Linked DNA regions of Schizosaccharomyces pombe. The protein of the gene in region 1 binds, or shares a complex with, the protein of each later gene. Each region holds a gene or a part of one and is shown on either strand. Other genes may lie near its edges.

Evidence for each region.
Region 2: dep1 (region 1) and laf1 share a complex: the UniProt entries of both Schizosaccharomyces pombe proteins name them as parts of the RPD3C(L) complex.

Annotation. Positions count from the first base shown.
Region 1 is NC_003423.3:3,796,022-3,804,811, reverse strand, and holds dep1 (Rpd3L histone deacetylase complex subunit, Sds3-like family protein Dep1), read left to right. Parts: upstream 1-3,662; 5' UTR 3,663-3,805; coding exon 3,806-5,281; 3' UTR 5,282-5,627; downstream 5,628-8,790. Other genes in the region: mrx14 (mitochondrial 54S ribosomal protein bL34m), read left to right, coding at 1-237; cqd1 (ABC1 kinase family protein ), read right to left, coding at 482-1,927, 1,983-2,615; vps1301 (lipid transfer protein), read left to right, coding at 6,109-6,130, 6,182-6,294, 6,346-8,790. UniProt on the Schizosaccharomyces pombe protein: Component of the RPD3C(L) histone deacetylase complex (HDAC) responsible for the deacetylation of lysine residues on the N-terminal part of the core histones (H2A, H2B, H3 and H4).
Region 2 is NC_003424.3:5,250,020-5,254,006, reverse strand, and holds laf1 (clr6 L-associated factor 1 Laf1), read left to right. Parts: upstream 1-1,772; 5' UTR 1,773-1,972; coding exon 1,973-2,866; 3' UTR 2,867-3,487; downstream 3,488-3,987. Other genes in the region: RFC-like checkpoint protein Rad17, read right to left, coding at 1-234, 292-395, 439-649; vtc2 (polyphosphate synthetase), read right to left, coding at 3,840-3,987. UniProt on the Schizosaccharomyces pombe protein: Component of the RPD3C(L) histone deacetylase complex (HDAC) responsible for the deacetylation of lysine residues on the N-terminal part of the core histones (H2A, H2B, H3 and H4).

The sequences.
Region 1 (8,790 bases):
AGAGGGTTTCCGACAAGAAACCCTTTTAATACCGCTACTTTATACAGTTCTTTACCGACTATGAACATCTTCGGTCAAATGCAGCAAGTGCGTTGGAAAACGTATGGAAACGAGTATCAACCCTCAAATAGAAAGCGTAAAAGAAAACACGGATTTTTATCTCGAATTCGTTCTGTTAACGGTCGTCGTGTTTTACGAGATCGAAGACAAAAAGGGAGGATGTATCTGAGCCATTGAGTACATATTATCTTTTAATGGGCTCTAATTTGCATTAGTAACCTCTATCAATTCTTCATTTAAGTAATGCTTTCTAGTTTGTGATACATTTTCTTTCCATTGGTTCTTTGTTTAATTTTACTTGTTGAACTTTGAACTTTAATAACTTCTTTAAAACACGAGTTTATAAAATTTATTTTCCATGTCTGCGACTATATTTTTCATGAACAATTTTCCATCATTTATAAAATAAACCGTAATTTTTTTATATATTGGGTGCGATCATATCGGACTTAACCCACTTTTCTACCGTTTCTTTAGAGGTGCTTAAAAGCAAAAATTGTCTAGCTTCTAAAGCTATCCATAATTGAACCATTGGGTTTGTGAGTGAGACATTGGATTTCGATGAAGCAGAACGAAGATATGGTGTAGCATTACTTAATAGATCCATTTCTGGATATAGTTGGCGTCCAGCGCCTTCAACTAAAAGGATAGATAGCACAGTATTTGCGAAATTTGCTTCAATTCGAACATGATGCTCTCTCGCCATAGTCATTACTTCTTGTAATATAGTTCCTATTTGAAGTGATTTCAGTGAAAGCGTGCTCTTTTGAATTTCATTCAACAAATGTTCCATTTTAAGAGCAAATATGTCTTTGTTTATAACGCGTTCTGTCTGCCTGCTCCTTTCAACCATCAACAGTCCAGCCTCATAGCCATGGAAAGTAAGTACGGCTTGAAACAGATCCAAAAAATTTTTCTGATCCTGCGTACTAAGTTTCGTTACTAATCCAGCATCCAAAAATACTAAAGTCGGTCGATAGCCCAAGATGTTTAATTCTTCCATAGCAGAATCCCATTCCTCCGTCGAACATGTACTTAGAATTTTATAAATTGAGTCATTAATCTCATTATCTTGATTAAAGATTGTTTTAGGGATTCCTTTGTAAAATTTAACAAGGACATTACCCGGATGAAGATCAGCATGTGTAAAGTTGTCAACAATAAGCATTTGAAATAATGCATTATTTCCTGTGTTAGCTAACAACTTGTTAAATGGTCCTGACTTATGTTTGAGGAACGCGCTTAATGGGATACCCGGCATATAGTCTTCTAGTAGGATTTGATTAGTCGTGTAATCATCATAGGGAGCTGGAAATTCAACATATCTATTTCCTCTAAAGTTAAGACGGAACTGGTTGAGATGAAGCGCCTCATAATGTAAATTCAATTGCTGGTTTAACATTGCCCCAAATACCTTAACTTCGTCGGGCAGAGAAAGCCACTTCATTGAAGGTACCAAATTAATTAATTTTGCGAAGAAACCTAAGATTTGTAAGTCTAAAGAAATGTATTTTTCAACATTCGGGTGCAAAACTTTAATGGCTACATCTTGAGTCACTGGCGCATCAGAGATATTTTTCTGTCGAAACCCTATAGATTGTAGCATACTTGTAAAGTAGGAATTATCTTGCTGCGTAGCTGCTTTCTTGATGGTAGCCGTATAGACTTGAGCAATTGCTCCAACACCTATAGGTATTGGGTTAAAATTAACAAAAATTTCCTCGATAGATTCCACTTTATAAGTCTTGCAGATGACTGATTGAGTATAGGCAAGGCTGTGGGGCGTTACATGTGAATGTAATTTGGACAGTGTTTTACAGAAAGCAGGAGGAAACAAATCTGTCCGTGAAGCAGCCCATTGTCCCAACTGCAAAATAAAAAAATAATGTTAGTAACATGATAAGCGTAAATTCAAAACGTACCTTGATAAACGTTGCTCCTGCTCTTTCTAATTGAGTAACGAGGAAACGAAGCCAAATGGATACGGTTAAAGACGACAAAGATCGAAGATGCAGGAAAGAAATAAGAGCGATAAACGGTAAGGTAATAATAATTGGAGAGAAAATAATAAATAAATTAAATGACCTGAGGAGAATATTAAAAAATTGTTTTATTTTTCCAAAAATAGAACGAGGTCGATTGCTTCTCTCTTCTAATTCAAGTTCGTCAAAGGAGAAAATATTATTCTTTCGATTTTTGACTCTGTATAAAATCCATAATCCTCCGACCGTAAAAGGGAGGACAAGAAATGTAATCCTTAGTATCCTCCATTGCTTCTGGTCTTCACTTTTTTGTCGGGTTGTAAACTTTCTTGCAAATATAGGTTTGGGGAATAAAGATATATGCTTCAATCGATTAACCAGTACGTGCTTTTTTTTGTATGGTGACCAAACTGACTGTGTCCCGCATAACCTTTTCCATCTTGTGTTCTGCGAGTTAACGACAGGAATATAATTTCTTTGAATAATGAAAGCAAAACGAGAGTTTGCAGAAGGAATCATGCTTAGACTAAGTCCCGAACGTATGTGAGAATTCCAGTGAGAAAAACTAATCATGTTCACCAATTATTGACTTTCAGAAGAGCATTTCCTTATCAAGAATCAAAAAAATAAATAAACTAATTACAATGGGTATTTTCGATTGAAAACACTGGCAAACCTGATAAAGAAAATAGGAATTGTTCAATAAATGTGTATAGCAGCTACTAAAAGAGGTGTTTCAAAGAATTTAGGAAACCCTGTCAACCTTTAATATCTTGAAAATAAAGAATGCACCAGTTCAAAAATATTGCTCAAATTTACGTGTCACTAGTGTCTATTGGTGTCAACGTCGAATGACGCTGTCTACTTGTGACTGGGAGAAAGAAAAATAATAATTGTTAGCCAAAATGAAGACTGTAATAATAATCAATTCTTTCATTTTATAAATAAAATATTGACTAATTAATGCTCAGTTCCTATTTGGATTCTATAGAATTGAACTTACAGTATGATAAACTGGATATGATCATCTAGTACGTGAAGAAACATTTTTTTATTCATTATTACCAATAAAATGTAATTTATCAAAATTTCAAAGTTCTAATTGAAGGGAAGATTATTAAAATATAAAAAATGACTGATTATAGGAATCACATTTTTTTTCCTTATACACCTATAATCGGTAATATTCAAATAAGTTAAATAATCAGTTCATGGTAGTATTCTGCTGCCAAAGAGAGATAATTGTAAAATCGCTAGCAGTTGATAAAATAAAGTATAAATTGAAATTAAAATGGAATTGTTTGTACTGAATTAAAAAGCTTTACCATCATTACTTCAATTGCCGTTAACTCAGAGACTAGCATAGAGTTTATCTATAGAGACTCTTTGATTGATTTAATAAAAAGCCTTTGATCGACGATGGTTCATTCGCCAAGTTTCATTGATGAGTAACAGTTGACTGAGAATATTTCACCTAACCCATTCTTGATAAAAGTATAAATTGGAAGTGCTAATTTAGAACAAATTATTAAGTTCTTGGCTCAAAATTTTGAGATGTCCCTACAGGATGTGTAAAAGTTGAGTATGAATATTATTACTGATGCCCAGCTATCAAATGTCATCCTCTCCCCAACACTACCAATTCATTCGAAAACATACATATTGAATGAAAACACACGAAAATCAACGATACTGTTTTTTAGATTCTGACATTTGTAAATTACGAGAGGGTATTTTGAACGAAGTTGAAGAATTAATTCAGGATGACCGAAAATTTGCAGTCGGAATCAATTCCCCATGAAATACTCCCTAAGGAGCCTTTTGATTTACCAATGAACAACTTAAAAAGCTCTCCTAAAAATAAAGATTCAGAGAAACGAATAAATAATTCGATCGCTGAAAGTGAGCAGGTTGTTGATTCGGCTCTATCTAATCCAGAGACCAATGCTAATGAGGATATTATCGCACCTCAATTGCCTTCTCAAAATTCTGAAATCATTGAAAAAAACTCGCCAGTGAACAAACTGAACAGTTCCACGTCCCTCACAACTCATCAGTTAGCGTCACTTCCTAAATTAGAGGTAACAGATCATGATAATGTATCTGAGGCAGAAACTGTAGTCTTAAATGAAGATGAAGAGAAAGAAACATCTTTAGTTGGTTCGGTATCAGTCACTGAGGACTTAGGTGACTCAAGTGCAATTGGCAGAACCATACTGGTAAACAACTCTGTGGAACCTCAGATGGAAAACACAGCAAATATAACCATTGTTAGTCCTTCATTGAAGGAATCTGACTTTGAGTCTGAAGAAAAAGCTACCAATGACAACAATGGACTCATAGAGACTAACCACAACTCGAAACTTGAGGAGTCTTCTGAGCATGAGGAGGAAGAAGACGAAGAGTCGAATATTGAAAGAACCGAAGATTCTGACCACCAGATACCACAAAGAGGTGGAACTTTAGAAGCACCCAGAAAAGGTGGTCCTCGAAGTGGCGTTGGAAGTCGAAAGCGTAAACGTGCAACAGTTTCTCGAAAATGGTCTACTAACAGTGAGAGCAAAATAAAAAGGGTAGCTCTTGAGACCAGCCAAGAGGAATCCGATCGTGAGATTGCAGATCGTCGTTCCGCATCTGAACAGGCTCATGAAGCTGACGATGAAAAGGCTATAAAACGGAAAGAAGCGTTTGATGCTTTGCTAAATATAGAAACGGAGTTTACTTTTTTACGAAACCGTTTATATGGGAAGAAACTGTTAAAGCTGAACGAGCATGAGGAAATGATACAAAACGAAACCCATGAGCGTTTTAATGCCTGCATTGATCTTATAACAGAGCGGCGAGATGATCGTGTGCGTTTAGCTACTGAAAACCTCATGAAACAACTTGGGAATATAAAAAACGTAATGGACTATGTAACGAAACAGAGGAAGTATCAGTTACTGTTTGATAAAAGAAGAATACGACAAGCGCTTCTAACCAAAATTGCAACGAAGTGCTTTCAGCTTTTAAACAAACAAAAATCTGTTCACGATCCCACATATATTACTCAAAAAACCATGTCATATCGCCAAAGTGCCTTGTTACAGAAGCAACGAATTGAATATGAAGCTGCAGTTTTGTGTGAGCTTAATAGTTTTGCTGGGTTTCCGACAGCACCTATTATCGAAACAGCTTCTTTTGATGACATCCGCAACGACCTTTTAGAAATGGGATGCCTCAGTGAAAATCAAGACTAATTTCAAGCATCCTCATTCCCCGCGATAATTCCTAATTTCCTTCACGTTTTACTTCAATTTTGACACACAATTTCCTTTTTGGTACGGTGTCAAGAGTGTTTTTTTTTTTTCAGAGCCTAGTTAAAACTCTTGCCTTTCGTTATCTATTCTAATGTATTTTCTTTTTTTTTTTTTTTTTTTCTAAGCGATAATATAACACATTCGCTCTTCGTTTGTTTCATTTTCTTTAGAATTTACATATTCGGTTAATATTTTTAATTCAGTATTTGTTTCTGACTTAACTAATGAATTAATTTTACAGCGATTCTTTAAGTTTGTAACAGCTATCCGTCTTACTCATTTTGCCTTATAATAAATTTGCTTATGAACAATTAAGTATGTTTAAATTTGATAATAATCATGTGCTTCGCAATCAAAACTAGTTAAGCAAAGTATCCTACTTATCGTTCGATAAAGCTGACTTGTTGACGCATTCAATGGTGTGGCACTTAGCGCCGTAAACAAGTCCTATGTACATTTGAAGGATTTTAATTTAACTGATTTAATAAAAAAAAAAGATTTAGTTTGTTCAAATAAGTAAAGTAATACTCCTTTCACTTAGACTCAATCCGTTTGATGATAAAAAGGTGCGTTATACGGAAATGAAGTTTCCTCTTCTCATAATCGTTTTCTTTTTATATTGAATAATTTTGTTAAATGTATAAATGGAATAAAAAGATTTTCTTTTTCAACAAAACATTCCTCTATTCGCAATTGCATTGCTAACTTTCACCAAGTCGGATGCCAACTGCCTTTTACCTAATTTCAGTGTCAAAGAGCCAACAAACATGTTAGAAGGCCTAGTTGCCGGTATGAATTATACCTTTTTTTGAAAGACATTGATATTAATAAAATAATTAGGCCTCTTGAACAAAATTTTAGGTTCGTATGTTGACAACTTGGATACTAAACAACTAAACATCGGCGTTTGGGGTGGCCATGTTAGTTTGCATAATTTACGAATAAAACCTGAGGTAACTAAAAATGAACGATTGATTGCAGTTTCACTGACAATTGTTTTATAGGCCTTAGATAAACTCGGAATTCCCATTGAAATCACTAGTGGTTTAATTGGCACGTTTACGCTGGAAATTCCATGGTCGAATCTTCGGAACAAATCTTTAACGATCAATATTGAAGACATATATTTGTCAATTCATCCCCAAGCGAAAAACTCTTTAACACGCGATGAGTTGGAGCAATCTCAACAAGCTTTAAAGCAGGAACAGCTGGATAGTTTTGAAATCTTACGGAAAAATTTTCGAGAAACTTTAGAAGAGTCTTCATCAAATCCAAATATAAGTAGAAAACAATCTTTTATTGAGTATCTTATTGCCAAACTTACTGATAACATTCAAATATACATCGAAAGAATTCACTTGCGGTTTGAAGATAATTTGAGTGATCTTGAAAAACCTTATTCTCTTGGATTGACGCTTTATTCGTTAAGAGTAACCTCTACAGATGCTAGTTTTACCGAATATTTGCTTTCAACCGATCCAATTCCTTCCTCTTGCATTCATAAAATTATTACTGTTGATTATTTCTCAATATACTGGATAAGTAAGTGTGAAATTTCTAAATGCACTACTACAGAAGACATATTCTCTTATTTAAAGAACCTGATTCCTAGTGCAGAAAAGTCACCTGCTTATAATTACATTTTAAAGCCGCTACGGGCAACCGCCCATGTTGTCTTATTTCGACATCCGACAGACCAGATAATGCAATTAAGGGGAAAATTATCTGTTGAAGAAATATCAATTACGCTAAGTGATCATATGTATTACAGTTTACTTGGTGTTATTGACTACTTTCGTGTTGTAATGAAGCAACAATATTATCTTCAATATAGGCCTAAATCGACTCCTAAAGAGAAACCATTGGAGTGGTTTAAGTATGCCATTTTAGTTGTTAAAGATTCTGTTCATGAGAGCAGATATCACTGGACTTGGAAATACTTTAAAAGGAGAAGGGACGACAGAATAGCTTACATGCATATTATTCGTAAGAGGTATTTGAATGAGCAAATATCAAAGGAAGAAATTGATTTGCAAAAAAAGATAGAGAAACGAAATTCTACTTACGATCTAATTAAGTACCGTTCACGTGTGCATACATCTCTGATTGAGGAAAGGAATTCTATTTATTTAAAACCAAAAACTTCGGCAGCTCATGGATTGTACGATTGGTTTTCTGGGTATATACGAAAGCCGCAGTCCCAGGATGAAGATACATTAGCAAGTACTGATAAAACAGCCGCTGACTTGACTGATCAAGAACAGAAAGAATTTTTTTCTGCAATAGAATGGAGCGGACAATTATATCCTGATACCGTAAATTTAGATCCGGATATGTGTATGGCTAATGTTGAAGTCTCTATCGCTAAAGGAAGTTTTGTCATACAATCTCACATTAATGGACGAGTAATACCTTTAATTAAGCAAAGGTTTGAGAGTTTTGCAACAGAATGTTTTATAAGGCCTCAATCACTGAAATTGAAAGTGTCTCTTAAGGATTTGGATATGTTTGATGGCATAACGAACCCCGAGCTTGAGCCTGCTCGTGTAATTTTTGCAAAGCCTTCTGTTGAAGAAAGTGAAAGTTTGCAAAAAATCCCTGAAGCCTACAGAACACATTTGTTTTTTTTATTGTTAGACACCAAACCGGTGTATAAAGCGAGTTCTACTCTAATCGTACATTTGCGAACTTTGGTTATTATTTACAATCGAGTTTGTATTGAAAGTCTGCTAGCTTTTTTTGTTCCTCCAAGAACAAAAATCGAGCACGTTTCTGAATGGGGATATTCTGCAGCTGCAAAAGTTATGACCCTAGCTAGACAAACTCGTGCTAGTTTGGATTATGCCCTAGAAATGCACAAGACTTCCGATATGACAATTGACCTGCAAGCTCCCTTGATTGTTGTTCGAGAAGAATGTACGGATTTAAAAAGCCCTACACTGTTCCTTGACGTGGGTAGAGCGTTGGTACATACCCAATTAGTTGATGATGCGATTATCGACAAATTCAGAAAACTCCAGAGCAAAAAGATAAACAACGAGCAATTAAAACAACTAGAAAACTTGATGTACGACAAGTTTACCATCTCATTATTTAATGTTCGATGCTTAATTGGGCCTGATTATGAAACTGGTTGGCGTTGCTTACCCAAAGGGTGTGATTACCATATTTTGAAAGAATGCTCTCTTGACATTAACTTTGAAATATCAATCCTTCAAAAAGCTACTAACTTAACGAAGTTCAAAGTTTCAAGTCATATGAAGCATGCCGAAATTATGTTTTCTGATGTGCAATATAAGGTATTCATTAATATGATGAGCAATATATTGCCTACGCTTCCTGTTGCTGAAATACCATTTACATACCAACAATTCCTTGACGCGGTTAAGCCTCCTCCTTTCTTTGATGCTCCTGATAATTTTCAAATAACTCATACTTCTCTTGGAAGT
Region 2 (3,987 bases), on another chromosome or scaffold:
ACGCTTTTGAATATTATTTGAATCCATAAGCTCTAACTCTGGATAAGTTTCGCATAAAGACATAAATCTACTAAACTTTTCCGTGAGCGAAAGTGTATCTGATTCTTGGTTTGAAGGCTCTTTTAGGTTCATAGGGTTTAGCCATTCTATGAGACTATAACCTAATTCTTTAGCCAAGACCTGAACTGCGGTACTCTTTCCACAACCAGAAGGACCACAGATCAAAAGTAACCTCTATGATTTTGTTAGCCAAGAAATATTTTTGAGAGAATTAGGGGAGATTTAACATACACTTTCTAAAGAATCCGTTAACATCCATTGCTTAATTGCACTTATTTTGCTTTTATGCACGGCAAGATCAGCCGCTTTTTGAGGAATGTATTTTTCAAACCAAACTATGCGCACCGTTAATTTTTGAACCTTTTTAAATTTTCTTACGTTGAAATCGATCTTCTTTTAAATTATTGAGATGAACAATTTTGTTTTCTTCATCAGAAAAGGCTTCAATATCTTCTTCATGAATATCGGTTATCGAAGCATTTTTGTCGCGTGAAGTTTTTGAAACTAGAGAAGGTTTTTCAATCTTTCTTATTTTCTTCTTTTTTAATGATCTCTTTGTAGATTCATGAAACGACAACTGTCGCCTCATGCCAGATATATGTTTTATTCAACAAAGAAATAGGAAGCTAAAGGTAGAGACTTTGTAAATCATTAGATAAAATATATATTAATAGTTCACAAAATTTTAACAGCACAAAAAAACGAGTGAATTGATTAATTTACTGCTGACAAGTAAATGTGTGAACTAGTGAAAATATACAAGTACTGTATATGGAAGAGAATAAGTGAGTAGGTTTCTTAAGTACTCTGAAACTGCTTCCTATAAAGAAGAGTAAAAAAGACATGTGTATAATTTATTTATAAATCATTTATTTGTACATTTCTCTTATTGTAAGATATATTGCGAAAGTATTTATTACAAATTTACTTTTTTTTCTCATACTGTAAACAATGATCATCAATAAAAAAGTTAGCTTTTTAATTAATGAACATCTGAACGATAAAGAATGAATAAATAAACAAGTAAAATAGTGATATATTTCAATTGAGAAATTACTCTAATGGACACAGAAATGTATTTCTCTTCATTTATAAAATCAAACAATTGGCATTTTCAATTATGTCGTATATGAGTGCATTAGGAACTAGCAGCTGGAAAGGCAAAGCTGTAAATATTAAGAATATAGTAATGAGTATATTTAACCTTGATTTGGATTGCGACATTACACTGGAAACCAAAGGAGGAATTGTTTCATTAGAAGCAGTCTAATAATCCAATGTTGCTGCATCAAAACTCCCTATTTTGTTGATAAACATAGTTAGCCGAGCTCTAACTCTTTAAGAACCGATATGAACTCCATTGGGAAATGAGCAAGAATAGAAATCAACCAACACTACAGAAAGTTCATACCCATACATCTAATGTGGTACTTTTAATCCCCTATCCATCAGTATTTCGCTTGGCTTAATTATATTTGATGGGATGTATTTCCTTTTTGGAATTGATTTTTCGCATAATACTGGAAACAGAAACCCTTGTGAGCAAAGAAAAACTTGGGAAACCCACTTGATTAATATGGCAAATAATTTTTTTCTTCAAAATGGCATTTATTTTCCATTTTGTATTTACCATTCAAGTAACATGTTTTTTTGACAACCTAACCCTACCTACCGGTTTCGACATGTGTTCCATCCATCCTTGGGATTTTACTAACACCAACAATCGTTTGGCATAAGGTGAAACTTGGAATTGCTGTTGGCTGTAAATTTCATCTAAAGTCGGTCGCTCTTTTGACTTTTGCATAAAAGAATTGTACATAAAAACAACAATTTGGAGTAATTTCAGAGTCTACTTGATTTAATTGAAAAGGTTATCGACAGCTTGCTCGACTTTATCAAGGAAAAAGGTAAGATGAAATCGAGTCAAACGCTTGTTTATTCGATCCCTAGAAATGTGGAGAAGGACACATGTGCGGCAGCCATTAAGGCATATCAGTACCTAATATCTCCGCCGCCTTCTCCCATTCCAAATGACAAAGTTGCAAGTACTGTTGATGTACCTAAGTGTTCTACAATACCTGAATCTCCAAAAGATTCTATTGTGGAACCAAAGCCGACAGCAACACCTGTTGCGCAACTGCATTCCAAGGTTTACGATCTGTACCGAGATTCACCTAAAATTTGGCTTCGCCGAGAAAGGCAATGGCTTCAGCGTCATTCTCCAGCATACAGGTTTTCGACTCCAGCTGCCAAACGTCCAAGAAGGCAACCCAGCTCGTTTCTGGATGTGCACGCTTCTAATACCCGTAAAAGAGGTTCTCCTGATACGCCGGACTCGGGACATTCAACTCCGCATTCAAAAGGAGATGTTCATCCTGGAATGCCTCAACATAATACGCGTTTCAAGCAGTCCAGTAGGGAGTTTTCCTCCAACACCCAGGCCATTGATGTCGCCAATACACCATATGAGCTATTGCCTGATTATTCTCCTGATATGTCTGTTTTGGATAAACGTTCTCATCCTCGCCCCCTTCGTAGCGAATGGAAGGGCCCTCCCCTTGATCTTTCCAATGATGAGAATAGACACCTTTTACATCCTGCTGAGCTACAGTTGGCTGCAACACTTCGATTGCCTTGTCTCGTTTATCTTGACAATAAGCGTAGAATCTTTGCTGAGTGGCACAATCGCCGTACTCAAGGCCTAAGCTTTAGGAAAACAGATGCTCAACGTGCTAGTCGTGTCGATGTGAACAAAGCTAGTCGTCTTTGGAAAGCTTTTCACGATGAAGGTTTCTTTGACGACTAATTCGCGAATCGTTCATAATCCTGCTGGCCTTTCAAAAAATAGATTTTTTCTCTCTTTTTCTCTTTTGGCGGGTTAGGGAAATAATCAAATTTAAAAATTTCGAAAAACCACGGATTTCATTTTCGTTGGATTATTTATTTTTTTCTAGGTGTTTTGAATTTTTTGTTTACAATCATTTGCATCTCGGTAAAACCTTTCTTTTTTTTTTTGGATATTTCGTCTTGAAGTCGGTGTCCATCGTTTTATCTGGCCAATAACCAGTAGTATATACCTCAAGTCCCTCTTTTCTTCCTTCGTTCACTTTTTGTTTTTTTATCCTCCCAAAGATGAAAAGCATCATGTAGTCAGCATTTGTATTAAAAAATTCATTAATACAGATGTGAAATAACTCTCTTTTAAAAACGTTCGTTTCTCCTATTTACAGTAGATATTGTTATTTTTATACCTAATAACCGATAACCATCAGTTCCCTAATCAGACGGATTTTAGGGGTTTTTAGTTATTTTACTCTACTCAATTAGATCCAATGCTTAGCGGATAATTAATAATTGATTATTTATTCTTTGCTATTAAATTAATTAAACCATAGAAATTATAATGGATGTCCGACGTTAATATCCCAGTATTAATATACCCCAGTGTTGTAATGTAATGAATATATGGTCAAATCCAGCTTTTCTTAATCCTTGCAAAAAAAGTAAATCGACACGTAAAAACTTGCAATACCCGTGCAAATTTTAGTAAAAACCGATAACATATATCCCCAAACCAATTAACCAATATAATAACCCAAGAGCCCTGCTCTAAATGAAGTTTTCAATCTTATTGCAATTTTCAACTTCACATTGCATCTAAATCAAGAATTTACTGAAATGTTATCTTCTAGCTTTCTAAAAATTTATTGCATTTAAATAGTAAATCCAACGTGTAATAAAAGTTGGAAAAATCCCATGTTGAATGATATCGAAACTTCTCAAGTAAACAATTTAACAAGCAAACGATCAGGTTCAATGAGATTTTGATAAACAGCATCCTTAAGTGCAAATGACATGTTGACAATAAGAGAAATAGCCAAAGCTGTTCCTACAATCAATGGGCCCCAATAATCAGTCATTGGCGCA